2 linked regions of the Oreochromis niloticus genome follow. The protein of the gene in region 1 interacts with the protein of each later gene in a pairwise test. Links are inferred from orthologs where the notes say so. Each region holds a gene or a part of one and is shown on either strand. Other genes may lie near its edges.

The links.
Region 2: the proteins of rtn1a (region 1) and ugcg interact in a two-hybrid assay, tested with the Homo sapiens proteins (2 studies listed by BioGRID and IntAct). The link is inferred for Oreochromis niloticus from reciprocal best matches to the Homo sapiens genes RTN1 and UGCG.

What each region holds. Positions count from the first base shown.
Region 1 is NC_031983.2:11,747,744-11,763,619, reverse strand, and holds the start of rtn1a (reticulon-1a), read left to right. Parts: upstream 1-8,863; 5' UTR 8,864-9,118; coding exon 9,119-9,341; intron 9,342-15,876. Other genes in the region: lrrc9 (leucine-rich repeat-containing protein 9), read right to left, coding at 1,271-1,395, 1,503-1,643, 1,722-1,857, 2,199-2,313, 2,391-2,564, 2,672-2,803, 2,936-3,153, 3,249-3,404 and 6 more. UniProt on the Homo sapiens protein: Inhibits amyloid precursor protein processing, probably by blocking BACE1 activity.
Region 2 is NC_031972.2:35,405,273-35,421,072, forward strand, and holds the start of ugcg (ceramide glucosyltransferase), read right to left. Parts: upstream 8,091-15,800; 5' UTR 7,772-8,090; coding exon 7,674-7,771; intron 4,542-7,673; coding exon 4,397-4,541; intron 4,124-4,396; coding exon 4,021-4,123; intron 3,928-4,020; coding exon 3,826-3,927; intron 3,740-3,825; coding exon 3,627-3,739; intron 3,546-3,626; coding exon 3,367-3,545; intron 3,291-3,366; coding exon 3,204-3,290; intron 2,890-3,203; coding exon 2,782-2,889; intron 2,585-2,781; coding exon 2,506-2,584; intron 2,024-2,505; coding exon 1,853-2,023; 3' UTR 1-1,852. Other genes in the region: molybdopterin synthase catalytic subunit, read right to left, coding at 10,715-10,822, 10,909-11,032, 11,140-11,296, 12,662-12,773. UniProt on the Homo sapiens protein: Participates in the initial step of the glucosylceramide-based glycosphingolipid/GSL synthetic pathway at the cytosolic surface of the Golgi.

The sequences.
Region 1 (15,876 bases):
GGGACAGGGAAGCTGGTCAGAGTTGATGGGAAGATGGATGGAGCCAAATACAGGGCAATCTTGGAAGAAAACCTCTTGGAGTTTGCAAAAGACTTGAGACTGGGGCGGAGGTTCACCTTCCAGCAGGACAACGACCCTAAACATAAAGCCAGGGCAACAATGGAATGGTTTAAAACAAAACATATCCATGTGTTAGAATGGCCCAGTCAAAGTCCAGATCTAAATCCAATCGAGAATCTGTGGCAAGATCTGAAAACTGCTGTTCACAAACGCTGTCCATCTAATCTGACTGAGCTGGAGCTGTTTCGCAAAGAATGGGCAAGGATTTCAGTCTGTAGATGTGCAAAGCTGGTAGAGACATACCCTAAAAGAGTGGCAGCTGTAATTGCAGCAAAAGGTGGTTCTACAAAGTATTGACTCAGGGGGCTGAATAATTACGCACACCCCACTTTTCAGTTATTTATTTGTAAAAAATGTTTGGAATCATGTATGATTTTCGTTCCACTTCTCACGTGTACACCACTTTGTATTGGTCTTTCACGTGGAATTCCAATGAAATTGATTCATATTTGTGGCTGTAATGTGACAAAATGTGGAAAAGTTCCGAATACTTTTGCAAGCCACTGTACTCATCATAAGGCATGCACAGAAACATAACCTGCACAAACAACTGCAATTTCATGTTTCTAAACTCTTGTTTAGTTTCCCACATGAAAACAAACCCATCAAACCAAGGAATGTAGCGCGAAAAGTGCAGCTCAGCTGTCTGATCCCCAACCTCAATAAAAAATGTCCTTCATCTATTTAGAGGCTTCCAACCAATGCAGCTGACTCTTAGAAATAATGATGGCTCATACTTTAGATCTGTCACAGACAGCAGATGAATGACCTGCTCTGTACAGACAAAAGTAAAAACATTACATGTCAATAATTGAAGAACCAAAAGTCAAACTCCAGATCTGCCCTCAGTTTTTCTGAATAGGAACTTTAAGTGCTTGATCTATGGCATCCAATTCACGATGAATGCATTGAAGGTTAGCTGAGGTTCAGTACCTTGCCCACGAGAAACATGGGCATCACCAAATTTGTGATTACTGAATTACCTGCACTTCCTAAACCATAGCCATTGAAACTGAGATTAAGGCATGTTATCGCTTTAAATAATGCAGCAATTTTTCAATATCTAAATATTAAAAGATGAAGAAACACCTCCACAGAGAACAATTGTGTTTCATCTGTAACAGTCAAAGGAATGTACGCGATAATTTACCTGAGTGATGTATTCATAATATATGATGTACTCGGGCAGGACAAGCTCGCGGTCAAACACAAACCACTGCCTTCGGCGGGGACTGGACTCAAGGTCAGCGTGTGTTTTGGTGGAGCCGGGTCGTTCTGAATGAAAAGGACACAGAGATGTAAAAATAATAGGGAGTGCAGAAATGAACAACAACAATTACATAAAAGGCAACTGCTGTTGTTCCTTTTAATTCAGTGAATACCTTCACTCATTGCAGATCTGTGCTTTGTCTCCACACTGCGATACACAGAGTAAACTCCAGGATAATTGCTTCTGTCCACCGGTTCTCCATCTCGGATGGGCATGCTTTTACCCACGAACACTTTGGAAACAATGACCTGACCTACAAGCAAGAGAGCATTAGCAGTTTAGATTCTAAAAAAACAGCAGAAACATAATGAAATCAGTAAAATGACCTCACCGTGCCTGAAGGGCATCGTATCCATGCTGTGTTTAGTACAACCTTGGCTGGTCTGGCGAAGTGCGTACTCAATTCTGGATCGCTCGCTCACACTCAGGCTATTGGAAAAAGGTATAGCACCCTCTTTTCCATTGGCCTAATTTAGAGAGTCATGGTGTAAAAGTGAAAGCGTGAGAATAACACAAGTCAAGCACATTCTTCTGTAACCCTGATGTGGTTACTTCTCCACACAGACACAAATCAGGCACACAAAGTTTCACAATTTCCCTCATTTTAGTATTCACTGCAATCTGCTCCATAAATGAGCGTACTAATTTCTTTTTGCACATATCGTTTACTGCACTGTGTACAAGTGTGCAGGTGTTGAGTGGTAAACTGACTAATGTGTGGCTAATTAGCTTCAATTACTCCCCTAATTGTTAGTGGAATAAATATGTGTGATAGGAGCGAGTGCATCCTTTCTGGTAGTACACACACCTTCTGCTGCTCTGTTGTTTTGAAGCCTTCCTGGAGAATCTGCAAAGTTTCATCCTTCTCGCATTTTTCAGGGTCAACTACGTAGAATAAATACTCCAGCTGACGTCTGTAATTCCTGCTTAGAAAGAATTGTGTTACAGTATGAGGCTTAACATAGTCGTTAAAATCTGCTCATTCTGTTTCGAGCCTTACTGGGAAGATAAATCTTCGCTGGCTAGTAAACTGTGAATCTTGTCCTCGAAGCAAAGTCTCAGTGCACTATTGTGGATGCAGATAACTCTATCCACCCTAATATCAGTGATGCCATATGTTTTGTAGTCTGATGGAGAGAAGCGGGAAAGCAGGAGGTCACAACAAGAAGTAAACCTGTCGGTCGGAGCAAAAAAAACAGAAGGACAGTATGTTTCCCATTTGTTACTGTGAATTGCACAGTGGTTACAGTTACAGTGGATGATACTGAACAGTAAAAGTACCAAGGATCTGTGGAGCAGCCCTCCTCCAAACGGATATTTCCAACACTTTCTAGCTCCATCAGTAGAAACTGCACCGTATACTCCATCCTGTTCGTGGCACGGGCCAAATCATGCTCGTACCAGATGTGAATCCTGAATATAAGATGAGGAACATCAATTTTTCAGATTAAAAGTACAGTTTAGCTCTGTGCTGTCCCCTAAGAGATCAATTTACATAAAGCAATAATACACTGTCTCTGTATCTCATGAAAGATGCAAACTCACTCATCTAGCCTCCTGGTCCACTGTTTGAGTCGTTCCCTCAGTGCTTCAATCTTAGCGTGTACTTTGTGCTCCGTGACTGGATCCTGACTGATGTCACTGATTGATTCATTTCTTTCTGTTAATCCTTCATCCAGGTGGGGTGGCCCTTCTGCTACGCTTTCTGACAGGCAGGCAGGCTTCTTGCAACTAACTGGCCCCACGGAGAGCTCACGTTCGAGCTAGAAATGCATCCAAATTATAATCGTTCTGTGCACACAAACACCTGAAGCTTTTTAGAGCTGCTACAAAAAGACATTTTATGGAGAGTACGTACAAATTTAAGGGCACGAGTGAGAGTCTTGATGCATTCTTCAGGCGACTGCGATAGAGTTTTCTTCCTCTCTATCAGACTGAGCCGGGTCTCTGCTAGTTTCCTCTGAGCTGTGCGTACACGCATATTGTAGTACATCATTTTTTTCATCACTGCAGACTAAAAGAAAAATAAAACAACTCTTATTTCAGGCTAAAACGAAATAACAGATGCATCAAATATAACTGTTAAATAAAACAAAAATATCAAATGTGACAAAGTAAAGAAAGGAAAAAGAAAGAAAAACAAGAAAAGAAAATACATCCACTAAAAAGTATAGCTTGTTTTTATAGAAACCTAGAAGAAATACTATAAGGCAGGGGTGTCAAACATAAGGCACAGGGGCCAGAATCAGCCCACCAAAGACAACCTGGCCCACTGAATGGCTCTGGAAAATGTGAAGGAGGACATAAATTTTACATAAAGTTTTAACTGTATTTTTAAAAGGTTTGCAGCTTTTAATACAGATAAACACCAAATCAAATAAATAATACACAAATAACAGAAAATTACTGTTTTTTACTACTATAGAAATTTGGGTTTTTTAAAAAATATATTATTAATATTTATGTATGTATTCAAAGACAAAGAAGAAAAGACATTCTGTCAATTAACAAAAGAAATTCCATTTTATACCAAACGTTTATTTCAAATTTACTTCTAACAATTTAAGCCCAAAGCAGCATAAAAAACTCAGATGTATCGTTAAAATTGCACCTTTTTTATTGTGCAGCTAAACTTCTTTATGCCGACAGATCGGAAGAGTTTCACTCGTAAGACCCACTTAACATCAAAGTATGCTGAGTTTGACATCGCTGCTTATAAGGGATTTAACCAGTCAATTAGTTCTGCAGATCTTGGATCGTATCAGTACCTCAGCTGCATCCTTGATTTGCTTGCTGGAGACGTCATAGATGTCGAGTCGCTGGAGGCTTGGCACGTGGTAAAGAATGTGGGTCTCATAGTTACAAAGGAGACACACCGGGTTTGGGGTTGACGTGGGGTCTTTCAATGCTAACTCACTCAGACGGGGCAGTCGGGCAAGGTGGCTCAACTCCTGTTACAGCAAAAGATTCAAGACTCAAGGTCAAATTTTAAGGCTCTTATAATGGGCAGGCCTCAGCTTACATCAACAATCCCATTTGTTCACATCCAGCTCCCAGATCTCTCCGATCCTACTGGCAGAGATCTCTTACACATCCCAAGGTCATGCTTCAAACAAAAAGGTGACAGAGCCTTTGCAGCCGCTGCTCCACGTTTGTGAAACAAATTACTGCATGACATAAAAAGACCCCCCCCCATCTCTGCTTTTAAGTCTAGGCTCAAAACCACCTTTATTCTCTGACCTTTCCAGTCCACTAAGCTCCACTCTGCTTGTTGTCGTTATGTGTCTGCACATTTGTTGTTAGCCCTTTAATCTGTACTCTGTCTTCAATTTTTACTTTTTTATTTGATGTTTGTAATTACACGTGGTTGCATGTATATAGGATTAGATCATTTGTACAAAACCTGGTCAATGAAAGCTATGTTTACATGTGATTTCTAAATAAATATTATTTACTTACTAGGACAGCAAAGCTTCTGCATATCCTAAGTACGTTTACCCTAAAGGACACTATTTTTTTGTTCTCAACAGAAACAGAAAATTTAAAGTATTTTAAACAAAGACAATGACACTGCATATATTTTCCCCCCACTATATGATAAATTACATTTCCAGAAGTCACTGGAATATTAGTAATTATAAAGAAACTGTCTTGATCGCTGCATACTGAAATGGATGTTTCAATACATCATCTTGACGATAGCACTTCTATTCTTCTCTACATTCCCTACACTTAAGAAGAGCTAAAAAAAGAGATGTCACGCTGTATTGACATGGTGGCGAGATTTTTTTCTTGATCCTGCAGTTACGGTGGGGTCTTTAGAGTGAATGGTGATAATCGTATTTTTTATAACAAGCCAGGTGCAGAGAAAAAGGTGGAGATCTCAGGCGTTACGTCAATCAGAGAAGGGCACACAAAACTTTTCTGTGTTTCTTGACAAAATGACCTTGAACAACAATGATCAGAGTCTTCTGAATGAGCCTGGCAGGTACACCATCAAATGTATAATATAAAACTGCCAACTTGGAGAAAAAAAAAAGGAAAACCTACGTAGTCTTTTAGGAATGTATATCACTAAACATATAATGGCAGAAATCAAAATTATACTGCCTAATACCTTATTGAAGGTCTTATTGAGACAGCATATTGTTGTAATGATTGAAAATCCGAACAGACCCAGACCCCGACGTTTCACAAGAATTCAGGAATGCCCTTTGTCAAGCCACAGATTTGAATAAGATAATAAGCTGGGTTAGGGCTAAAGGTGGATTGCAGGAGCAAGATCTGAGGTGTTAAACCAATCAGACACAGAGATACAAAACCTTTTGTGCTTCCTGTCAAAATGTCCTTGAAAAAACAATATTCACATGTGCTGTGAAAGCGCGTCTCAGCTGAAGCATGCCTAAAATGTGTAACTAACACAAACCTGCACATTAAAAACAGAAAAACTCTTAGGCAGTCTCCCAAGATATATTATTTAAATAAACGCATTCATGAATGTATATCATTGAATGAGGAATGGCAAAAAAAATTTGAAATTATGCCGCTCAATGCCTCAATAAAGGTCTTGCGTTGCACGCCTGTTGTTGAAATGATTGAAAATGTGAACTAGCCGAGACCCCGGCATTCTCCCAAGAATTTAGAAATGCCCTTTTGTCAGACCAAGGATTTTAATAAGATTTTACAAAATAAGTAAGAAAAGTTTTTAGAGAAAGTATTTCAAAAGCATGTTTTCATTTTGAATCTCACCTTAAAGGAGCTGATCTTGTTTCCAGACAGATTGAGTTTCTGAAGGTTGACATTAGGATCAAGGCTGTGCCCTTAGAAGAAGTTAAAAATTATTTGATTGCCATCGTTATTTTTCACATAGCTCACCGAATCTCCATCAAACTGAACACAAATTATTCTGAGAACATACCGATCTTTTCAATAATGTTGTCAGCAAGGTTTAGTTCTTTAAGGTCTAGAAGTGTGTCCAAGCCCTTTAAGAGAAAAAAACAACAACAACCGCATGTGGAGACTAAGTTAAGCCTTTCTGAAGGTCTTTCAAAGTTTTACTTTGGAAATTGGCTGATTTTTCACTCTTTTTCAGTCCAGTCCTTATACCCGATCATTTTCAAAACAATGTTTGCTTGTTTAGCCACTCATCACTGACCCGTGAGTCGTTCAAGTATTTGAAAAAAGCACCTACCTCATGGGAGGAACCAGTGTTGTCTCTAAGCACTTTTTAAATTGGTTCTTTACAAAAAAAAAAAAGAGAAAACTTGAGAAAACCAGACAAGTGGAGGGGAAAAAGGGAGACCTTAAAAAACTATCTACACCATCTGAAATTGATGGAATTATTAAGGCAGAAATGTACCATCAGGCTTTGAGCCACCATCCAATACCATCTGCAAAGTATCTCATTGGCAACTGCTTCATTTTCCAGCAATGATCCCAAACACAGTACCATTGCAGTAAAGGTCTACCTACCCTACCCTAAGATGGTCATATCAAATATTGACTTTCACACTTTTCAGAATTGTACAAACTCTGTTTTTGACATATATTATCATATGTTTGCATGTTTCAATAAATTGCTGCACCTGCTGTATTTCCCATTTTCCTAGCAAAATATAAAGAAATGAGTGGAGGCTCACAACTTTTGCACAGTGTGTGTAAAAGAGCAGTTTTCTTCTGCTGAATATTTAAAAATCTTGCATTACAAACACAGAAAAGCCAAGGAGATACAGCTCTAACCTTAATCTTAGTTATGCAGTTGTTATTGATCCACAGCACCTCTAGGTGGACCTGCAAGTCCAGATTCTTTATTTCACTGATTTTGTTCTCATAAAGGTACAGTTTCTCCAGCTGCAGGCAGTTCTGTAGTCCAGATATTTCCTGCAATAAAGAGAAAATAGATTGTTTGATGCATGTGTCACAAAACACACATGCTTAAATGTGCACGTGACACCTGTTCATGTCAGTGATCATATAGTGCATATTTCTTCCACGGTTTTCAGACTTTTTGAGACAAAAAATCAGTGTATCCATGCACCTCCTCCTTTTTCACTCCAGCTCCTTCATAGTTATCACCCTGCCTGCAGGAACATCTGCATGTGTGTCTTTGTCAGCTGGGGATAATTATGCTTAACACACACACGATTCAATGGTGGTGTGAACTAATATTTCATATTTTATAGGTGAAAAAGACCCATTACTGAAGAATCTTCAGTTGCATCCACATGGCCAAATTTCTATACGACAGCAATGATTCAAGCTATCATCAGTTGTTGTTATCAGCATTTATCAGCATAGCAAACACACCGTCAGATGGCACTGGACTATCCAGAGCTCCTGAAGCAGAGGACAGCACTCAAGTCCATCAATGTGCTCTATGTTCTGGCCTATTATGGTAAGTTGACACAGCCTTGGGAAGAAGGAGAGGCCAACCATGCGGGGGAAACCAGAGAAGAACATCTCCAGTGATGTGATGCTGCTTCCCTCTTGTGCAATTTTTTCATAGGGCACTCCATTAGCCATGCACTGTTAATTAAAAACAATAAAGAAATAAGTAAATATGAGAAACCCCCATTGACTTTTTATACGTATTCAAAACTGAATATTTATGTGACTGTTACCAGTTTTTTGATCACTTCCTCTTCACTGCGGTTCTTTTGCTTCTCATTCGACAACATATCGCTGCAGTGAATTAAAAATATGTTGCTGAAAATACCCTGCTTTATTTTTACTGAGAGAAAACGAACGGACAAATTAAAGTAGAGAGTTAGTACAGGTAAACCTACCTGTAATAAGTGAGGTCAGCAAGTAAGAGCACGAAAAGTCACCACACATCAGTGCTAGCTGTGCTAGCTTCTAACGTTGTGCTTGTAAATATTATCCGTGTAAGTACGACAGAGGACCTTTTAAATATCGGGCGGCTAAATTTAGTGTACATCTAAATCAAAATTACTTTCCATGGAGAACTGAACAGCAGCAAACCTCGCTGATTGCTTTAGCCAGTGTTAGCCATCAGTCTGTATCCATCAGTCTGTATCCAGGCAAGAGCGTCTGGTTGCTAAGACAAACTGAAACTTTTTGAGGTCCTGTTCATATTAGAAGCGGCCGCATGAGGGCGCCATATGGCAAGGTACATTTTTTTAACCATCAAACCATAAAATTCACACAAGTATTTCTCCATTTAAAACATTACCATGGGATACATGAGGAATTTTTGCCACTTTTGAAAAAAAAAGACCCACATATTCTTTTCGCGTTATTAAGACACTATCTTTATTATTCTCCTCTTTAGGCCATGTGTCCAGTTTTAATAAGCTAACTGTCGCTATTTTCACAAACCAACGCCAAGCACTGCTTTGACTGAATCCTCTGACCTCATTTATACCCCGAAAACACCTTTTTGATCTTTGACTGTGTCCCAAATAAAGTGGTGCCAGCCGTAAGGGCTCGCGGACACCATGACGTCAGCGTCGGAGCAGTGAACTAAAACAATCAACCTCACTCCTTCTCCTTCTCCTCTCGCTCCCGACCGCACCGCCTCATCTGTGGCGTCCACAAACCCCGGTCTCAGCTGACAGACGCCAACCAGGAGCCGCACTGTTGTTGTTGTTGTTGTTGCGCGGTTTTCTCCGTCACACATCCTAGCGCAAACGATTACGGCAGGGAGAGAAGCGGCAGCAGCTTTGTGTAGCTAGTATAATATCATCTGTCCGACGACAGGAAAAAGGCATGTCTGCGCAGCCCGGTGAGGAGCTAGGCTCGGAGGGGAAGTGGTTTGGGGATGACTATGAGAGGAACGGCCTGTTTGGGAACACACAGAGCCGCTTCGGCGAGCTGCGCGAAGAATTGAAGCCGAGAGGCGGCGACGCGTTGGGCGACCTGGATCAACAATTTCATCCTTTCCAGGACGACGGGAAAAGGCCTCCCGTTGCTATGGAAACTGCATCTACAGGTAAAGCTTGCACTTATTGCCCTTAAATGCTGAAATATGTGACAGTTTATAATCAGTCTAGCCACGTTACGTGTCTTCTTTTTCAGAAGGTAACAGGACGATGTTACGGTGTGAATAAATACAGTGTGAGGGACGCGGGCGAGAGCATTTATCAGAGATTTAGCGTTACGACAGACGGCTTGTCTGTAAGCCTGGGATAAAACTTCCGAGCTCGAAAACAAAAACAAAGCCGAGAGGAAGCAACTTCAGTGATGCCGTAGGGGGAAAAATGGCAGACATATTTCCAAACTAAACTCGGCAACAGCCCTTTATAGTTATGAAACGTCATATAGCTCATGACCGAGTGGTTTTCCGCTCAGGAGACAAGAATCTGCTGGGATGAAGGCATTACCAAATAGCCTGTTGAACTCTGAATGGCCTGTTCACTCCCATAACTACTGTATCATCTCGCACATGTGGGCTTGGTCTACAACTATATTAGAAATATTTGCTTGTTGAGAAGGTGAGGCTACAGATTACAGGCCTAAAGCCCCCTTATCTTACAAAGCCAGTGTCTGGATAGAAAGAGAACAGCTTAATCCTTAAGCATAAGATTTCATTAGTCCAGTAACAAAACTACAAAACTAAAAATACAAAAAAGAATGGATAACAGAGAGGACACGTTTTTAATATAGATGAATAAACATGAAAGAACCTAATATAATATAATATAATATAATATAATATAATATAATAATAATAACTCACAAACTAGATGAGTTTGGAAAGGTTTTGGGAACTTTAGGGAGGTTGTTGTCTGTCTTTTATATTTATGCATATTAAAAAAACACACACACAAAGAGAGAGGGGTTACATGATGCATCCCAGTTTTTGTGTGCACCTCCGTGGACAGTGTCAGTGATGTCATCACATTGCTGGATGCTGGACTTTGTGATAAGATAACGCTGGTTCTGGGTCCGTCATCATTCTCCTCAGCACTGCTCAGCTCATGCTGCTATTTTTAATCCTTAACAGGGTTCACTGTTCGCTTGGCGAGCAAAACTAGAGCCCTGCACTTTTATTCACCAATCCACTGAAAAATTCATGAGCTTGTGCTTTAAAAAAAGAAGGAAAAAAAAGAGCTGCCCAGTTTTTCTTCCTTGCTGCTCAGGTTTTTCACATTTCACTTGCTGCTGCTTCTGCAGCAGCTGCTCCAAAACAGAAAAGAAAACATGTAACCACTGGTAAATCCTTTAAGGACAACAGCATAGCTGAATGCTTAAATTGGACTTTAATCCTTTGATGCACGGAGTTGTCCATGACAGTATTCAAATCTGAATTGTGCAGTTGGAAAACCGTTTGGAAAATTGACATAAAACACACAGAAACACTGCTGAAGCGTTTAAAGCAAGTCGGTGTGACATTTTAAACTGGCTTGTCAGCGTTTGGCCTTGTGTTCTAGAAGAAGTAAACAGAGCACTTGCTCTACTTTTTGGTATTCTGTGCCAGACAGGCTCAAACATGGGTAGGTGCATGCAGACAAACACACACACACTTTATTTTGGTTCCTAAGAGGAAAAGAATAGCTTTGTGCTGTTCCTTGGACTCCCATTGAGCTGTATCCATACCAGTGAAGTAATCCACTTTGTCACTTATGTTCTTGGTGGGAACAGTGCAGATCTCATCACATCTAGCAGGGCAGAGAGGACGTTTCAGTCTTATGTAGTCATGTTATTGTCCAGTCTGATCTTTGTCAAAGACATTCACTCCTAAAAGTCCACTCATGCTTTTCTTTTTCTCTTCTCTGCGTTGCTGAAAATATAGTTTTGAGGTTGGAATTTTTTGGCTTTGAGCATAATGAGACGGGAAGCTGTATCTTTCTCCGGATAATCAATCCATGCCTGTTCTAAATCATGTTCACAGCTCTGATGTACCCACAGACCCCGATAATGCTGATTTCAGCCGTATTAAATCACCACAGGGCAGAACCTTATCCTCGGATCGGATAACCTCTTTGATCTAAAAGTTTCCCATCCTATAAAATTTTCAAGAGTCACGAGAAAAGGAAGTAGCGGAAGGAGCTCTGACCAGGTCTGATGTGCTGCAAGAACACCACAGTCGGGTTTAGGTTGTTCTTTAGCAGATGGTGTTTCTGATAGCTTGGGCCCGATTTCTGCCAGTGAAGAAAAAAACTGAGCACATAAGATACACAAACAGTGACGCTGCCTTTACTTTTTCATAACTCCTCCTGGTGCATCATTTTATCACAACCTGAAATAGCACATCGGTCATAAGAAACTTTCTACTCCAATCCAGTGGCTGATAGGTGGATTAGACTCACGTTTTTCTCCTTTTAGCATAGATCAGTGACAAGGATGAGACAGCATATGTCTGGCTGGGACTTTTCCATATCTTTGAGATAGAAAAAGCACTTAGTGGACTGCATAAGCCAGCACAGTGCTTTTAGCCGTGAGAGCTGTTCCCAAGGGGAGGGGGTAAGCAGTACAAGGTCTTTTCAGAGCAGATGATAAAGATGCAAGATAAAATAAGAAAGAAGGGGGCTTAATGGTTAGAGAGGTGAGGCTGTGATGACAAGGCTGGTGTTTCAAAAGGCCGGCGTGATGGGAAAAAGTAAAAATATGATAGACGACACTTTCCTTTAAGGTTAACTTTAATTTGGTATCTGCTGTGAGTCTTTCTGCTGTTGCATGAGCCTTACATATCTTAATAATAGTTCATCTGTCCATCTTTTCTTCAGCAATCTCAATAACTCAGTCAAACTTGATGGATGCAATGCTGAAGACCCGAGCAAGTGCATTGATGAACCTGAGGTTCCGTGCATAATTGCCCATATTATATTCTGGCTGCAAGTTGCTGTCTATTACCCATGCTTCCCGTATATTGACTGCTGACTACTCCATTCTGTGTGTAGGAGGAGTGGCATCCACAATCGCCACGTTCTCCACGACAATGTTTATATTCAATTAATGCATCCTTATGCCAGTCCTCTTTTCACAACCATAATTTTCAGCTTGTCTGTGTGTGACACATTTAGCAGACACCTGTAAATTGTAGCTTTAAAGAATTAACCTGGGTTACAGTCCTTCTGAGTTGGCACTAGTTTTAATAATGTGTAATCTGGATTTACAGTCTCCTGGACCTGTTACCTAATGCTGAGGCATATAAGGACAAATAAAGGTGTGGTAGACCAAACTCAAGAAGCTCTTTTGCAGAGGGACCATATAAAAGCATTAGTGCACTCATTATATCAATAAGTCATCATTTCTAATGCCTTTAGATCCCATGTGTTCACCCGGAAGACAATTCAAAGCCAACATGTGAAACATGATGCCATGTATCTGATCTTACCAGCTCTCTAGCGCTGAGCAGAGAGTCCTGAGTAATCCCTGGGCGTAGTGCGAAAGTGCTCTCGGGATTAGAATTACTATCAACAAAGGCACTCACAACGAGCATTGACCATTAGTTTTTTTGTGTGCGTGGGCGTGTAAATTATAGTAGCCTTTGTCAGCTTGCCTTCCTACCTGCATCCGCACTTTTAAAAGCGAATTGCCGTTTCAAAGTCACCCTAAATTGACCCAAAGAGAGCGGTGTGCAGACGCTCGGTCTGGATCCTCCCACATTCTCTCTATTCATCCATAAAGCTTCATCCAAGCAGGAAAGCTAGAATCAATACACTGGAAGACAAGCACTGTACAACAGCTACTGTCTAAATGGGGATAGATTTTATTTAAACTGCCTCTAAATGGATTTATTTTTGACAGAGGCTGCTGGAACAATAACAATTGTCCTGGTGGCCTTAAGTGATTTTTTTTTAAAGAGTGGTGGATTCACCAAACATTTCTTAGAGTAATTGTATGCCCTCGTCATTTCGGATCAATGCAGCAGAGCACTTGAATCCATCTGCCCAGCTGCTCTCCTATCGACCTCAGCTCTCAGTATAGGCCGTTTGTGTGCTCCCCTTTTTTTCTCTTTCTTTAGCATCATTAAAAAGTGGTACTCAGTGATTGGTATTCATCTGTTTGTACAGCTAAGGATATTGTAAAACATACATTATGAACTTAAATGTAATAGCCAGAGCTTTTAGAGCCAAAGACCATTACAACTTTAACTGGGCTTTCATTTAAACACTGACATACAAAAGACTCAATTTAGAAATCTATTATTATACCAGCTACCAGGAAATCATAGTGAACCATAGAGTTATAATTTCAATCATCCACATCAATCACAAAAGGCAAATACTTAACTTTCTTCATAAAATACCACCAGTTAGTTAAATAAATTTACATGCACATGTCTTTGAATATAATCCATGTTTAGCATTTTTTGTGTGTGCAGTTTTTGTCTTTCCGGTAAAGAAAGGACAACTTGTAGGAAGTTCAAGCCCCAAATGCACAGATGGGTTTGAAAGAAGAGCATAGTAATAGAGCCGTTTCCACAAGGTCATACGGTGAAAGAGAACACCTGAAAAATAACACCATTGCTCAGAGGGTCATGGGTGGAGTAATGGATTCGTAACAGAGCTGTGAAGTCAGAGATGCCTAAAGGAGAAGCTGAAATACACATATGTCCATAAGTTTTTGAAGAACTGCACTTTTGGGGGGGTTGGGATTTTGCCTCCGTACACAACACTTGAACTCAAACAATAAAGATTTTTTTAAGTGTAGACTGTCAGCTTTAATTCAAAAGTATTGCCTTAACTGACGTTTGATACACAGTCCCCAATATTTAGAAGTTCAAAATGAATGGAAACTTTTTAACTATAAAGATTGTTATTGATACTTGGATAATAATCTTTTTCAGTAAATGACTGGCTGATGTCTAGAACCCATGCACATCACCACATGTTGTGTTTCCTCCCTTGATAAGCTTGTCTCTCTGCCTTAAGTTTGGTCTTCAGTAACTAAAAAACATTCTGTTGGGTTGAGATGAGGTGACTTGGCCATTGAAGAATATCTCATTTCTCTGCTCTGAGAAACTCTGGGTTGCTTTTTCAGTATGCTTTGGGTATTTATCCATCTGAACTGTGAAGAGCTGTCAGATCAGTTTTGCAGCATTAGGCTGAATTTGAGCAGAGAGCACAGCCCTGCACACTTCATAATTCATCCTACTGCCTCTTATCAGCAGTCACGTCATCAATAAACATTAGTGACCCGGTTACACTGGCAGCCATACATGCCCATACCATAACATTATCCCCACCATGACAGATGGTATGCTTCAGATTATGGGCTGTCTCTCAGTTTTTCCATACTATTCTGCTCCGATTATTATGGTAGAAGTTAACCTTGGTTCCATCTGAAAACAAATTCTCTCTTTTTTAGGTGTTTTCTTGCAAACTCCAGTCTGGCCTTCTTCTTCTTGAGTATAACCAGTTTTCATCTTGTTGTATACGATTTGTATTTACATTCATTTGCATCCACATCTCTTTGGACCTCATATTGAGAGTTCCAGTGATACCAAATGCAAGTTCCTGCTTAATTTGACAATTGTAATTCCTAAACAGTTAATCCAGTACTTTAGTTAAAGCACTTGAATTACAGGTGAAAACCCATCTCCAATCACCTCTTGATTTTTAAAAAAATCTCAAATCCAATGTGGGCTGTACAGAGGCATAAATTCCCCCCAAAAAGTCGTTGTCCAAACGCTTATGAAACTAACTGTATGACTGGGACTATTGAGGGTCTCTGTGTGCTCGGTCAGTGCAGACAGACAGACAAAGTGCTCCTTTGAATCTCAGTTCAGCTTGTTCTACGGATCATGGAATCAGCAGCATGTCTTTTGACTCTTTCCTGCACTGCTGCCTGCAAGGAGTAAGGCAGCATGATGCTCGAGTCTGTAGGCATGCTTTGTGGGGTAAAAAAGCGACATTTCTTTTTGCATCTCCTCATTTTCAAAGTTCCTTTTTCATGCTTTTTCATTTTTATTGCACACTGAATGACTGCCGTATAGGCGGCTCAGTGCACCTTTATTTCCAGTGCTAATATATTCATGTTGCAACTCCAAACCCTTTTGATATCTGTGCTCACATTTGTGTGTTGCCTGATAATTAGGAGCCCATGCCTTGGTGTAGCGCAGATTGTCAGGCTGCATTAGTTTCAGAGCTGCACTGGCTGCACGGAGGACAACAAAGGGACTGCCCATTCACAGCACTGCGCCATCCTTTCAGTGACATGATTATGTTGTGTGAGCTGAGAATTCCTCTGTTGTCATTTCCAATCCTGTCCCAACTGCAGTAAGGCATTCGTTTCAGCCTTGTGGGGTTTTTTTCATTGTCTGGGTGCTATATCAGATCAGCAGAGTCAAAGTGCCCTCAATCTCCACCAAGTTTGTCAAGCGGCTTCTCAGAGCAGCTGCCCTCATGGCAGTTAAAGACAGAAATCAAGCCTCTTAATTGTTGAACGTGCTGTTGAACTGTTGCTATATTTCCTGTGTTGTTATGTAAAAATGTTTGATATAGATGGAAGTAGTGGGGGTGTTGCCTACAATCAACAGGAGCATGAGCAGTTCCCAGTTTGGGAGTTCACCTCGCTTC
Region 2 (15,800 bases), on another chromosome or scaffold:
CTTTAGAAAAAATAAACAACAACAACAACAATTAACAAACAAGATTCATCTGACTGGCCACGAGGGTTCATCCGACAGAGTGATGTCATCAACCAAACCTCAAGTGACAACGGTAACAGCTAAACGCTAACATTGAGCTTTAAGAAACACTTTTTTCTGTCTCTCTCTCACACTCACTCACTCACACAGTGTTCAGACTGATAACTTCAGAAATGTCGGTTTTTGGTCCTTTTCTTTAGAGAAATTTTTGAAATGCTACGACCGTTAGTTACAAAAATACTGGAATTCATTCAGTGCTCGACTCCCAAGTGTTTTCCAGGGTCAGAGATTAAATCAGGGCAGGAAAAGACATTTGAGCTCCATTTTTGTCTTATTAGATAATTTAGTTTTTTGATTTAGACAACTCTTTTCCTGTTGTTTCTTTTTGTTTCTAGTTTTTACTCAAGCAGAAAACAAACCCTTTTGGAGTTTTCTAAGTTTTTCAGTTTAAAATTTAGAACATATCAATTTTATGCTCACTTGTGTTTTTTTACACAATTAAAAATGAAATGTCAAAGAAATATTTAATTTGTTTTAATTTTTAATAATGATGTGCATCTCACATCGGACTAAATAGTATTTTACCGTTTACGAGTTTTGCAACTTAACTGATGATTGAACTTGTTGACTTTGTGACAATAATTTGTCACGTTGCTGTACCTTTGCACCTTCACAATGACAAAATAACGACATTCTGACGATTTCATTTCATTACATGGATTTTTTTTTAAAATAAATTAATGACGGAATTGAGAAAAACGTCTTCACTTGTTCATTGCCTATATTTTTTTTTTCTAAACGACAATCAGCTACCTGAAGTCCTTCAGCTGCTCATGTTTGCATTTTTTTTGTTTATCCTAAAGCTGCACAGATTTTATGGACAGAAGCAAAAACCAAGCGGCTGCTTTCCTGTAGTGACTTACAAGGCTCAGAAACTGAATATAATTCACTTTTCACATAAAGATGATTCTGGAACTGAAGATTAGTTTCAGCTTAAGTCTCTCTGTGACTCCAGAACCAGAACTGGACGGCTTCAGCTCGTCCAGTCAGAACCACCCATGCAAGATTTTCCTCTTTTATCTGAAGATTTTTTTTTCGTTTACTTCCAATTAATGGAATTGGATAAAAGTCGTGATAATCAGAAGATAGATATTTTACTCTGAAAACTGTGCAGTCCTCCAGCCCTGGCTTTCCAAAAACCGCTGAAGAAGAGAAGGCTTTGCAATAGAAAAACAATGAAATCTGACTTTTGTTCTTGTGATGTGTCAATGTGATGAATATCACATTTGAGACACATACTGCAGTCTCAAATTAAGATGTTAAGAAATTATGATGGTCTGACAGCACAGGGGACTTTCAGAGTAAAACGTCTGTTCACATTCACGCCTATTTTATGCCCGTCATCACCTTCCATGCAAAATAATATCAGCCAATCAGGTTGGAGTATTGTGTAGTCCTCTGTCCTGATTGGCTCACGGTCTTCCTGTTTACCTGCTCTGATCAAAGACCAGATGATTCAGTGCATGTGTTGCTCACATATTTCCTTGCTTCCTGCTCTCTCATTGGCTTGTTCTGGCGTCTTTTAGCTTTTAGCACCAAAAGAAAGATAAATAGTTAAAACACGCACACACACACGCACACTTATGTGCACGCACGCACACACACACACACACACACACACACACACTCTTCAGTTTTTCCTCATAAAAAAGAAAAAAAAAATCCAAAACAAAACATCAGTCTCTTCCTCTCCTCGCTGTAATGAGGAGGTGAGGGTGGAGGTGGGGGCAAATGTGGCCCATCACCGAGGTAACTAGACGTCGAGGATCTCCTCAGCAGTGCCTCCGCAGCGCAGTCGGTAGCGTCCAGTCCTCCAGCTGATGGTTGGGTCCCACAGAGCCGACAGGAAGATCTGCACCGCCATCGACTCCCTGATAAACCAGGCGACTGCAAAGTCGAGCTTCGAGAAGCACAGAGGGCCGCCCTGTGGTGATGTCATCAACCAATAATCAGGCACATTTTTTAAAATTCTCCTTATTTTTCAATTTCATTGAAATGTATTAATTTTCTTAAATTCGTTTGCATTGTTTTCCATTTAAAAAAAACAAAAAAAACCCAGCTTTTAAATTCAATTAAATGTTTTTATGATTATTTATTGAACTGAACCTTCATATATTTTAATCCTTGTGTTCCAGTTTTTAATTTTTTAAATTTTTTAATGGGCTTATGTTTTTTTTTTAATTTAATTAATCTTACTTACTAAACTGTCATCTTTTCTATTTAAATACAGGCAGAAAATTAACAGAACATTAATATTTTTCATATTATTCTTAAATCAAACTGAAAAAACATCTGTAATTGAAAGCTTCATATTTCTGTTTCTGAATTCTTAAAAATGAAAAAGTAATTATTGTTGAAAAAAAAAAAAAAAAAAAGTCCTTTTAAATTGGAAGTATGTGATATTACCTGCACTCCGGTCAGCTGGATGTAGTCAGATATAAACCAGGCGAGACAGTGACACATGAAGAACACCATCATGTCCCATCTAAAGCGTGCACACACACACACACACACACACACACACACACACACACACACACACACACACACACACAGATCAATATAGTTTCTCTGGATGATGTCCAGATGATAAATCTTTAACTTGTTGTTTGGTGATTGAGGCCAAAGAACAAAAACGCCCAGCCAACCGATGACCTCATCCCTGTGTGGTCGAATATGTACCTGAACACGTAATGAGCGGCCCAGCCGATGATGAGACTGGCGAGGAAGCATTCGGAAACAGGCTCAAGCACGGTGCCGGGAAGCATGTTGATCCTCAGCTTCGTCCACCTGCAGACATAAACCTTGATTAATATCAGCTGCTTTGAGGATTCAGATCAAAGAGGCGATTCAGAATTATGAGTCGGGCTTCAACTGCTACAGCCATCCGTTAGTCAAAAGGCCACGCCCCTAATAATGCTGCTAATAACTAATAAAAACTAAATGCAAATAACTGTTTTTAGTTTTCAGAATTAGTGAAGAAAATAAAGAACACAATAAATGTGAATAAAAAAAAAATTCTTGCTGCATGTCATGGACCAAAAAACTGGGTGAAATGGAGGGAAAAACATCATTAGTCAATCAGTAATGAGCACTGAGGTCACCTGATCATGCGGGACTGGAACTGGCCAATGGAGTAAGACCCAGAATTCTGCAGCGCCACCTGTGTCGCCATTGAGAATTTCCAGCCTCTGCAGAGAGAAAGGGTAACTGTGAAGCGATGCTCTGACAGCAATATCAACAGGGTGCTAATGCTAATGTGCTAACCTGTCAGCGATAGCTTTAGCCATGAAGTAATCCTCAGCAATGTACTGGGCAAAGGAGACCAAGCCGCCGGCCTGATCCAAAACATCCTTCCTCATCAGACATGACATCCCCGTCACGCACTTTATCCCTGTCACATTAGCCGAGATGTATGAGCGGGGGTGAGATGTCCCAAAGTACACCTGGAAACAGGTTAGTGTTAGCATTTGTTAGGATCAAGACAACTAAAGAAAAGAATTCCCATTATATTAGTGTGACTTTACCTGTTCCAGTGTGGCAGCGAAACCTTGGCGGTCGGCAACGTACGGCAACCCATGTACCAGTCCCACCTTCTCTGTCATCTGATTGGTCATATCTGTCAGGGTGTCGGGTTTCACTGCAACACACAAACACAAAGGGAGTTAGCTTTAGAACCAACAATTAAAACAATGATAGCCATCACATCAGTGGTGAAGAACTGACCTCTGATGCCACTGTCGCAGATCCAGACCAGGCCATATTTGGCTCCTTCATAGCCCGGCATCAGGTTGTTGATCTTGGGGTTAATTCCAACTTTCTTCCCCCCTGAGAACCAGAGACATCACATGCTAACGTTAGCCACTGACAGATGAAAAACATGTAAGACAACAAGCATAATTTAAAGTAATTTTTTCTCACCAATGAATAATCGAGCGTCTACATTCGGGTATTTTCCCAACAACTTTTTGCAGACATCAACAGCTGGATCATCTTGATCCTGAATGCACAGCAGGATTTCAAACTGTAAAACCAGATGTATCAGTTAGTCCAAGGAGCGGTACAACAGAGGACAGATGTTTATTATTGGAGCTCAAAGGCTGGTGAATGTTACAGGGTAGACTGAGGCAATGGAAGGTCAGTCTGTGGAAGGACGGGGATTGTAGTCCAGGAGAGTGGGATGGTAATTGGGAATGTAGGGTGGGACAGTAGGATTCTTGGTAGTCAGGCAGTCATTATAGGTTAGTTGGGGGAGTACTAAGGGGTAATTATCTGGGTTGGGAGCATTTAGCTTCACCTTTGGGTAATCCAGAGTAAAGAATGTCTCTAGGTTGGAGATCAGGTTCGGGTCAACTCCTTTTAGTGGCTTCAGCAGAGAAACTCCAGCCAGCTGCATGAACGGCTGTTTGACTTCTGGCCTTTTCTTGTGGAGGTGAAGACGTCTGAAAGAAAGAGGTCAAAGGTCAGCAGGTAAAAAAAAAAAATATCAAAGAAACATTTGAAAAAACAAACAAACAAAAACATTAAATTTTAAATCTATTTTGAGTCTCTGGGTTTATCAGGAATGTAAATCTGCAGCACCTGGTTGAAAAAGTTCCTGTTAGTATGTCCTGACTGTGATGTCTCATCGGGTTAAAAAAAAAAAAAAAAAAAAAGATTAATTCATTCATACAGATTGTGTTTTGTCCAACGTGTGACCTTTGATTTATTTCAGTGTTTTATTTTATTATTAGGAAATCAGTTTGGCCAAAGGCAAGGTGAAGATTTATAGCTCCAGGTTCTATTTAACTTTATTGTTGTACTGGAAAGGAGCCAGTATAGTTTCCTGTATCAGACCTGCTCCAGCAGCTTATTTTAACTATTAAAATTAATGCAAAGTGTTCTGGTCCAGGGAGGACAATGATGGCCTTTTAACTGGAAGTACAAACATGATATCCAGACTGAGGTTTTCCTAGTGAGCTCAAACTAAGCCTGTTAAGAGATTTTAGTTACCGAAATAAAAACAAGAACCAGACATTCAAAGAAACAAAAACTGGGAACTAACTGAACCAAAAACACACATTTACAAAATGTAAATAAATAAATGTACTTCATAAAGGACACAAAGAGTTCCTCCCTTCACATCACAGCGGTCGGCGATCCTGTAAGAATGGATCGACAGGTGCTGGAGAAAAAAGCAGGTGGAGGTGTCTGTATTTCTGTTAATGACAGACACTGCAACAGCTACACACTATCATACTGCTGTGAGGATACCGATGTTCTGTCCTTGTCCTTTAGACCCATCTATGGAGATTGGAAACTTTTTTATAGCTTATTTATATTCATCAGAGAGCAAATACTCGGGCTGCAGCAGAGATAAGATACAGTAAGGTGGGTAGGTTACCAAATGTTCTTTCCAATACCCTGAAATCTCTCCTGAGGAACTTCAGAACATCCTATCAGAAAGAAGAGGAGCCTGGATTTATATTTTAGCAATATAAACGAGACACTACGGGGTTCAGAACACTTCTCTACAAACAGCAGCAAACCTGAGCTTCAATCAGTGAGATATGAATAATGACAGTGCACTGTCTGAGAGAAAGTTACAGCATGGGACATCTTCATAGGGTCTACAAGTCCTGATAAGGAAAAGCTTTGAAACAAAATTAAGATTTTTAAAAGATAAACTATGGGTAGCTGGAGAAGTGAAAGTAGCAGCGAGGAAGCACAAAAAAAACTGTCTGCAGGGGAACAAAAGGCAGCTCGCTTCTTTCTCCTCAGAAAGAGGAAATTAGACAAATAAACAAACAAATTTCACACAGACCAGAGTTGATATTGGGGAACAGCTTGACCCTGGTAACTGTAAAAGCAGAGGAAGTTTTAAAGACTTTTAAGAAGATTACTATTAGAAAAGCAGCAGTAGGAGTGAAAGAAGCTGGCAGATCACTGTATGTTAGAGTGAAAGCTGCAGTATCATCTATTGCCACTACCACAAGGGCCCTCCAGGGTGTACTGCAGTACATCTCCATTCATTACTCTGTGAATGCAGTACATTAACTCATCTGATGTCTTTAATTTACTGAAGGTACAGCGATTGGTGGTTTGATGAGAGGAGATGAAACAGAGTGTGTTACTCTGTGTTTTCTCCAGTTGAACACAGAAGAAATGATTTTTGCTTTTAGAACGAACGGGACGGCTTTGAATCCTTTACAGAGAAGGATTACAAGGTTTGTACTTGATGTGGAGACGGTTGAAGGTGGACAGAAGTACAGTGTGTGTTTTGTACAGACCTTAATAGGTCTGTAAACACTGCAGGTTAGGAGCAACATGGTATGATGCAACTCAGGGAGTTCCAAGTGCTGGAAAAAGGTGTGACATCCTCAGCGATGTCTCACACCCTCCTCATGGTGAATATATCCTCTACCATCAGGACGGAGTTACAAGGCACCACCCTTACAAACAGCTCACACCCAGAAGTCTGTGGTACAGATGTACATACATATACATATACATATACATATATGTGTGTATATATATATATATATATATATATACATATACATATATATATATATATATATATATACACACATATATATATATGTGTGTATGTATATATATATATATATATATATATATATATATATATATATATATATATATATATATATATATAGATATAGATATATATATTTTTGCCAGGTCAGGTGCTTCCTTTAAGACCTGCAGCATTAATTCAGTCTGCCAAGTCTAAATGGGTTTAAATCTAAATTTTAAGTTTAAATCATTAAAACATTTTTTAAGCTGTAAAGATAAGCTCCACAAATTCCACAACACCAAAGCACATGCTCATTTTCAGCTACCCTTATGATGCTGGCACAAAGGTATGGCTTTCCATCCATCTACAATGCTTATCTTCTCCCCTTGCTAAAAGTTAACTGATTTAGTCATGCTCCGTGTACAGAAGTATAAACATAATCAAAACCCTAGAAAATCATGGAATTAAAAAGTAAAAGATAAAGCGGATTACAGCCGAATTAAAGAAAGGCTCATAACACTTAAATAAAACACTAAACATATACTTCATAATGTGAGGGAAACGCGCCTGCTGAGTGAAAATACTAAAATCCTATTCTTATTAAGTGAGATTCTGCATTAAGAGGAAGCACGAAATTAGGTGCGTAATAAGCTACAGAAACGTCAGCTGAACAATTACCGCCATTTAAAATATTCTCTACGAGGAAATACGGTTACTTCAGGTTCCTTGCTATCGATTCACGGTTTATAAAACTATAATTAATTACGTGATTTAGTTTACTACAACCTGAAAGGACCGCAGTAACCGGAATATCCCGTCCGAGCTAACATTACCCGGCTAGCGGTAACCAGGAAAACGCCCGAGCTAACCGTCCAGGCTGCACATTCACCTCCTGTCATACATCCACAAACCCGTCCCCAGGAGCAGGAGGCAGCGCCTTATTTCTGAGTTTAACCCCATTCACACATAATCACGCTGGGACAGACAGAAATAAAGGAAGGAGCTGTGCCGAGGCTAGCCGTTAGCCACGTTTAGCATCGCTCCGCGGTGCACTCACACATAGATGATGGACATCAAGTGCATGAGCCACAGCACGAAGAACAGAATGAAGCCGAACACGGCGAGGCCCTGCATGGCGAGGTCCAGCAGGGCCATGGCTGTCAGCGGAGGCTGCTTAGGAGGTGGGCCGGCTGGAGTCACACGGGCTCGGGATGGAGACGACCAGCTGACCGGTCACGGAAGACAGGGAGAATCCGACTGAGATAGCCGCGACTTTGGCGTGTTTAGGCCAACAGTTGCACTTCTGGATCACAGCGGAGGGTGTCAGGTGGCTGCCCGAGAAAGAAGCTCCGATAACATGGCCAAAGCAGGGCTCGGTCCGGTGACGGTTGCCTACAAGTATCGGTGCAGATTCGCAGGGTTTGACAGTCAGCAGACCGACTCTTGGTCAGCTGACCGGAATAGCGGAGGGTTGGGGGATAAAATCTGTTACCAGGCTTCCGGGAAAACTTCAAAATAAATAAGTAAAATAAAGCTGTTCACTTAAAAACATAAAAAGCATTAGTTTTTATTCGTTGTTGTTGGTTAGGTTAGGTTAAATAAAATTTAACCTAACTTTTCTACTTCCTTGAGCGCTTTTATTTGTAGTAACATCTACTGAAAAGTTGATCTAGTTAATTTTTTGTTCCTGGTTGTGTTTCCTGTTTTGAGTTGCGGAACTCGGGAAATTCCCTTTAGGGGTAACTAAAGTTTGTTTATGGTGTTTTACTAATTTTAAGTATTTATTATAATGGTTTTTATATTTTTTCTGTTTAATTTATCTCTTTTATAACTAAAAAGAAATAACTAAATCCAAATATTTTCCACCGTTTGCTTCAGAAACATCTAATTTGTTAATACATCATTCATATGGGCCATGTGATCCTCTGAACATATTAAAAAAGGTTAGATAAAAGGTGAAGGATCACTTAATGATCAATGTAAAGGCTTCTCGGGCTCTTGTGAGAAACAGGCATGCATTACCTGATCAGGTCAGTCACAGCAACCCAATGCTTGCTTCATTTTCCTGAGACATTTAGCAATGGGTGAAATGAGAGGTGATGACCTGTGGAAACCTTTTCTTTACAAAAAAAAGAAGTCTAGTTTCACCTTCATCGGGTGACTCAACAGGTTCAGAGGCTGTTAAGTTTGATCACCTGAGCAGGTAACTTGAATGTCTACTACTTTTCACACACAGCCAGTGAAGGAAAGAGTGATTCACTGAAGGGTAGAGATCAGGTTTCGTTTGAGGAAACATGAAAATTTAAAGACACAGAAATGTTATCTCCTGCATTCTGCTGAAATTTTACTCCATAATTTACATTTCCTGCATTTTGTTGTGGAGCAAACATCTTTACTCACGTAAGAAAGAACAAGCATCAGTTTAACATAATCTGGAATACAACACAGTGACATGGTTACCCTTCCAGAAGACAGATTAACCCTGAATAATAAACTGAATTGGGACATAGTAACTGGATATACAAATGTAATATTCTGTCCAAAAATAACATCTTAAGAGCTTTTTTCTTCCTTGGAACTCAAACTCTTACCATGATTCTGACAGAGGTTTAAATGAGTTTTTCCTGTACTTATAAATCTCATAAACTTTGTTCCACTTTGGTAAACTGCAGCTGGTGTGCTGAATGCCAGAGTGTGAGCTACAGCTGTTGTGCAGATTTATTATCTGGTTCAGTGTTACACGCTTTACTTCATGTCCTTTTGTTTTTATCTCTGGTGACCGCGCGTGCTCTAGATTTCTTAAGCTTCTTGGATGACGTTGTTGGTTTCACTGGAGATTTGATTGTTTGACACAATCCCAAACATGATTCACATACAGATACACTCCGCCTCTGTAGCCGATCATGATCATATCTCACTACAGGAGTGCCTGCAGGGACATGAATGATTATTCTAAACTCCCGACAGTTAATATTTTCTTTGCTGAGTCAAACATTCAGACCTTCTGCTGTCTTTATGATCTCCTGGTTTCAGAGGTGACGACTGATATCAGGGCATTTTTATCCCTTTTGTTTGAGAAACCAATTAATCTACGATAAGTCCAATCATTTACGTCACACATGTGAGTATTTGTAAAATGTTTTTTTACGAAGTCTGCATCGCGTCTGTTTGACGCCCGATAACGAGGACAGGAAACATCTTCAGATTAATCAGTAAACTGACAGGAACAAATCTTCACCTCGAAGCACAGCAGTTCAGATCTTATCAGATTTTCAGCCTTTTGTCCTCTTTCTAGTTCACGTTGAGCACTTGCAGGAATTTTTGGTTCATATTTTGTGCGTGAACCAGACGCCCTGCTTCCTGCTGGAACACCAGCACACCGGACTGAACCTCCTCACGTGGACGGAGAAATCTTTAAACCTGGGTGCTTGTCTTCATCCAGAGGAAGATGATGTTTCTCAGTTTCATCTTAACTGCAAAGTTCAGATTAAAATGTTACCACCAGAGGGCAGCATTTCTTCAGCAGGTGTGTGCACTGCTCTTATTTATTTATTTAACCTTTATTACAGCTTCGGATCCTCCATCTCCCCAACATTTACCTTTCCCAGCCTTCCACTGTAGATACAAATATAATCTCATGACTTACCTGGTTTACTCAAGGTTACACAGATTTAACCTTAATCACTGCTCCACCTTGTGGTATAAATTGGTATCACATCAAATGACAGCACAGACACGCTTTACCTTCAAGTTGATAGCTCTTCAAAATAACACACAGATGTTTTGGACACAAAGTTTTACAGCAGTTTTTTCTTCACATTCTGATGATGGTTTTAGTTCATTTTGGAAGATTTTACAGCATTCGTACATTTAGTATCTAGCATTTAGTATCTTAGCACCAAAAAATTAACGTGACCATCAGACTCAGTCAACACAAAAATATAAATTTAAAACATGTTTTAAGCATTACATGATAATTAGTTTTTTTTTTAAATATTGTGTTTTAAATGAAGAGAATTAAGAGTTAAACTCCAAATGATCTAAACACATAATTATGGCTCCACCCACCACAAGTATCTGTGTTTTATCACATTTTTTTTATTCAGGTTTTCCCTCAGACAATGTGTTTTCTGGAGGTTTCTTCTGAGTGGACCATGAACACTCAGCGTTCTCCTTCCAGTTCGCCTCCTGCGTGTCATAAACTTCCTGTTGATCACAAGCACACAATCAATAATCAATAATCATTGAATGCTGCATCGATCGAGCTGATAAGACTGGCTCTGACGTCTCACCTTTTTCCAAATGGGGACATTAGCCTTCAACTGGCTGATGCAGTGCTGGATCGCCTGCTGGCCGTCATGGCGGTGAGGGGATGAGATCGCCATGACAACACTGGCGTCGCCCACCTTTACCCACCTGATGGGGGAAGCTATGTGTCATGTTTTTTATTTAAGTTAAAAAACAAATGTAACACCTGCATGCCCCCCCCGAACCTGCCACAGTTAGCATGTTAGCGCCCTCACCCGAGCCTGTGGTGGACGCAGATGTGTGTCACGCTTTGCCAGCGTGCTCTGATGTCAGCACACAGCTTGTTGAACTCTGATTGGGCCATGGGCTCATATGCCTCGTACTCCAGTCCAACCACCTTCCTGCTGTCTGCCTCATCCTCGCGAGTTGTACCTGTGCACACGCATAGTACGCACGCGCGCGCACACACACACACACACGCACACACACACACACACACACACACACACAAACAAAAACAAAAGTTTGTATAGCCAGCCATGTGAGGACTCATGCCTTCCCCCTCACCGACACCTGGTCCTGAACCACTAAACAGCTCTTTGTAGTCTGATGCACAGTGAGGAGCAGCTAGATGTCAAAAGGACTACTCATTGCTGTTACTGATACTGGTTGTTGATCAGGTGCTTTAACAAACCTCTATATGATTTTTTGTACTTTAATTACAAAACAATAATAATACTTTTGGACAATAATTGTAGAAAATATTAAGACTGAACAGTAAATCTGTCTGTTGTGTTTCAGAAATAAAAGCTGAGTATTTTAACCCACCGGGGTCGACGGACTCACCGTGTCCAAATCACACAACCGATTTAAAATGACATAGCAACAAGATGTTATTTTTAAGTAAAGTATTTTTATCTGGGTTTTGCAACAAATACTTCAGTTATTGTAAAGCACTACCCTGTAATGTATTACTTTAGAAAAATAATAGTATAAAACATACTTTCTTTGATTTTCTTTAAATAAAATAACTAGAAGAGCTTCTTAAAATAATAAAACTCCAGCTTTGTCATCAAATGTTTATTTTTTTTAACTTTTTCTTCTTTCTTAAATACTGACATTTCACACAATTTTCCCTGAAATGTTAAAATGCTGTATTGGAACAATAAATAAAAAGTCAGCTTTTATTTTTCTAAAATGCCTGTACACAGATGTAAAATATTTGAAGGAAAACTGAGAAGATAATAATTAGAAGTAATTCTAAGAAGTAAAATTTTAAATATTTGGTCAAAATCCCAGATTTTCTTTTCCTCTGCAGCATTTGACACTTTACATCAACAATCTATATTAAATATCTCACTTTCCTCTTCATCAAATGCTTCTGACTTATTTTCCTCTAAAATATTTAAAAAACCTAAAAAAAAGTTTAGAAATGTGATATATTGCTATTTATTTCTAGAGTATTTGTACAAAGATCGAACAATTCAAATTGAAAATAATTTAACTAAATAAATATTTTAAAAATAAGTACATTTTTCATGTTTTCAGTTAGAGTCATATTTCATTTTGACTTTTTCAATTCTAAAAATGATTCCATTTCACTGAAATAGAACTTCTTCCTCAGAATATTCAGTGATCCATCATTTGTACACAAATAAAAATCAAACCAAATAATCACCATAAAACAAATGTGATACTAACTCAATAATGCTGTTACATTTTATTTATATAACGCCAAATCAAAGATGCTTTATATTGTAAAGTAAACACCCCACAATAAAGTAAATGGGAACAAACCTATAAACACTGAAATGGCTCCACAGGAAGGGCTGCTGACAGCATCGACCACTTCCTGCACAGAGAGCCAATCATGGCTCAGCTTGAAGACATCTCTCGGCCCCTTCGACATCTTTGGGAAAAAAAAAAATGCAGTTTAGATTAAACTTTTGTCGACTCCATCCATCCATTTGCTTCTGCTTATCCTTTTCAGGGTCGCGGGGGGCGCTGAAGCCTATCCCAGCTGTCATAGGGCGAGAGGCGGGGTACATCCTGTCGCAGGGCTAATAGAGACACAGACACAGAGACAGACAACCATTTGCACTCACATTCACGCCTGCATTCACACCTATGTAAGGGAATTTGGATTGATCCATTAACCTATCCCCACTAACTGCATGTCTGCGGACTGTGGGAGGAAGCCAGAGTACCTGGAGAGAGCCCATGCAATCACGGGGAGAACATGCAAACTCCACACAGAAAGACCCCGGCCTGTTGGTGGAATTGAACTCAGGACCTTCTTGCTGTGCGGCAACAGTGCTAACTATCGTGCTGCCCTGGCACGGTGGCAACTTTTGTCAACTCTTTATCGTGAATTTATTGGATTTAAAGTCACAACAGGAAAATATACTTTTATTTTTAAATTGTGCAGTGAAACAGGAAGTGAAGAAGGAGCAAATACCTGAAATGGACCTTTTTCTTAATCTCTGATCAGTAATTACTTACAGTCTCGAGTCTCTAGCCCCCGCTGAGTGGCGGCACTACGGCGACTTCGTCTCCGTCTCCCAGAGTCAGCACCTGGTCGCCGATGGGAACGTACTCCTGACGCACTGCCAACACAACACCGTCCTGCAGCGTACACAGTCTGGACACACAAACGTGTTAGATGCTGACTCGTCTTCACACGCGTGTTTATGTGTGCCCCCCCGCCCGCCCCTCTTACCTTGGGTGCCGCTGTACCAACAGCTTCCAAAGGTCGTGGCTGCTGATTGGTGTTGGCACGGCAACAGTCTTCTCTTCCTTCACACCCGTCAGCTCGACGCTTTTAGCGAAGTACAACACGCACACCTGAAGGAGAAAAACTATGAATCCATCAGAGCATTTCACATTAAACAGCGAGTCCTGAGTCTTTCTCAGGGATTCAAACTTCCTGTTTCCTGTGTGGAGTTTGTTTTGTTTTTTTATTTATCTGAAGCTCACAGATTTTGTGTCAAAAATGTGCTTCATAATAAAACAGGAACTTCATTAAAAGATGTTTTTCAATCACATGAAGCTGAAAATTGAATTTTCCAGCTCAAACAGAAGACTTTCTTTACGATACTGTGGTGTAATGCTGAAGCTACATGTCCCAGGAAACCATGAACAGGAACTCACAACACTGCACATGTCAAACGTCTGGGAAATCTGTTCATGTGTTTATTGGATAGAAAACATCAAAAAGCTTTAGGATCAAAGCATTCCTGATAATTTTCCCAATCACCACCATGTACGTTTCTGCTAACACAGGAAAACTAAAACTGCTTCCTGTTTGTGTTTGGGGACACGATGAAGACTTCGTCCTCCTCCTCCTCATCATGACGGCTGATAATGAATGATGGTGGAAGATATTTACATCAAACTCAGTTTTTAACCATAAAATTCTGACTTTTTGCAGGTTTTTTGGCTTTTTTAAAAATCATTTTAGTAAATGTTTGTTTTTAACCAAAAACTGTCATTCTGAATTAATTACATACTTTATCCTCCAAATACTAAATATATATTTTTTAAGACTTGTCTTTTTTTCCCCCCTTAAATACCCTCTTAACTCATTAATTCCCCAGATTTATTACAAATTCTGAGAGTTTCTCTAAAGAAGCATCATAAAAAGATAAACAGGGGTCAAGGCTCATCCAATAAAGTCAATGTGGCCTTCAGCTGATTTCTACTGATACCCTTCAACTGTAAATCAAATTAATTCATACAGTTTGGTCATGAAAAAGTTAAACACCCACAGACTTCAAGCTCAGTTGAATTCGTGGTAACCAGCATGACTGAGGAGGCCAGAGTGGCCGAGCCTGTGTAGCCCAGACTCGGGGAAATACCCGTCATGCCTCTCTGAAGAGATCGTTCTCCAGCCTGTGCAGCTCATCTTAAAGCATGACAAACTCAAAAACTGCAAAACAAATGGAAACGTGTTGGGAATTTTCTACCCTCACCGTGAGCTTTACACCTGTGGCTACATTTCTGAGGTGTACTTTGTATACATCTTTGTAATTATGTATACTGGTTTAAAGTAGCTTGTTTATCCTTAAATATGCTGTGTATCTTATAAAGGTGGCCCAGAGATCAGGTTTAGTAATAATAAAGGACTGACTCTCATGTAATCTTGAAACTGAGTGCTGACACTTTTTTAAATAATAGTGTAATAATAATAGTAAAGTCCCTTTATCCAATCCACCCTTTAAAGGCGCTGATCCTGAAGGAACATTTTCTTTATTTCTTTTAAAATTAGCTTCAATTATAAATGAGCCTGAAAATTAAAGTTAAAAATCACATTAGGCCTTTGACGTTTACCGAAACTGTTACAGACGTGTTTATTTATTCAGTGCAGCTCGGATGTCTGAACATGACTCATTCTACTGTATTCACTTCTACATTGTTGTGTGTTCAGCAGCAGCAGGGAGGACAGAACACAGAGGCATTCAGGACATTAGAGCTGCCACGATTAGTCGACTAGTCACGATTACGTCGACTATCAAAATCGTCGACGACTGATTTAATAGTCGACGCGTCGTTTGAAGCTTTGTAAGATCACAAAAGACGCAGGAATAAGTAGTAGGATTTAAAAGTGTAATAACGGACTGAAACAGAAGATGGCAGCAGTGCATGTAAAGGATGCCAGCTGCCGTTAAACCCCGAAGAAGAAGAAGCTGTGTCCCAGAATTCATAGTGCGGCCCAGCGCAGTTGTCAACAATGGCGGCAGCTAGTTAGTTTTAATATTACTCTTATTATTCTTTCTGGGTCACAAAATAAACGTTTAACATATTTTCAAGCTGTAAGTTTTACGTCCAATCGATGCATGATCTGATTAGTCGACTAATCGCAAAAATAATCGGTGACTAGTCGACTATCAAAATAATCGTTTGTGGCAGCCCTACAGGACATGCATGTTCCTGGAAG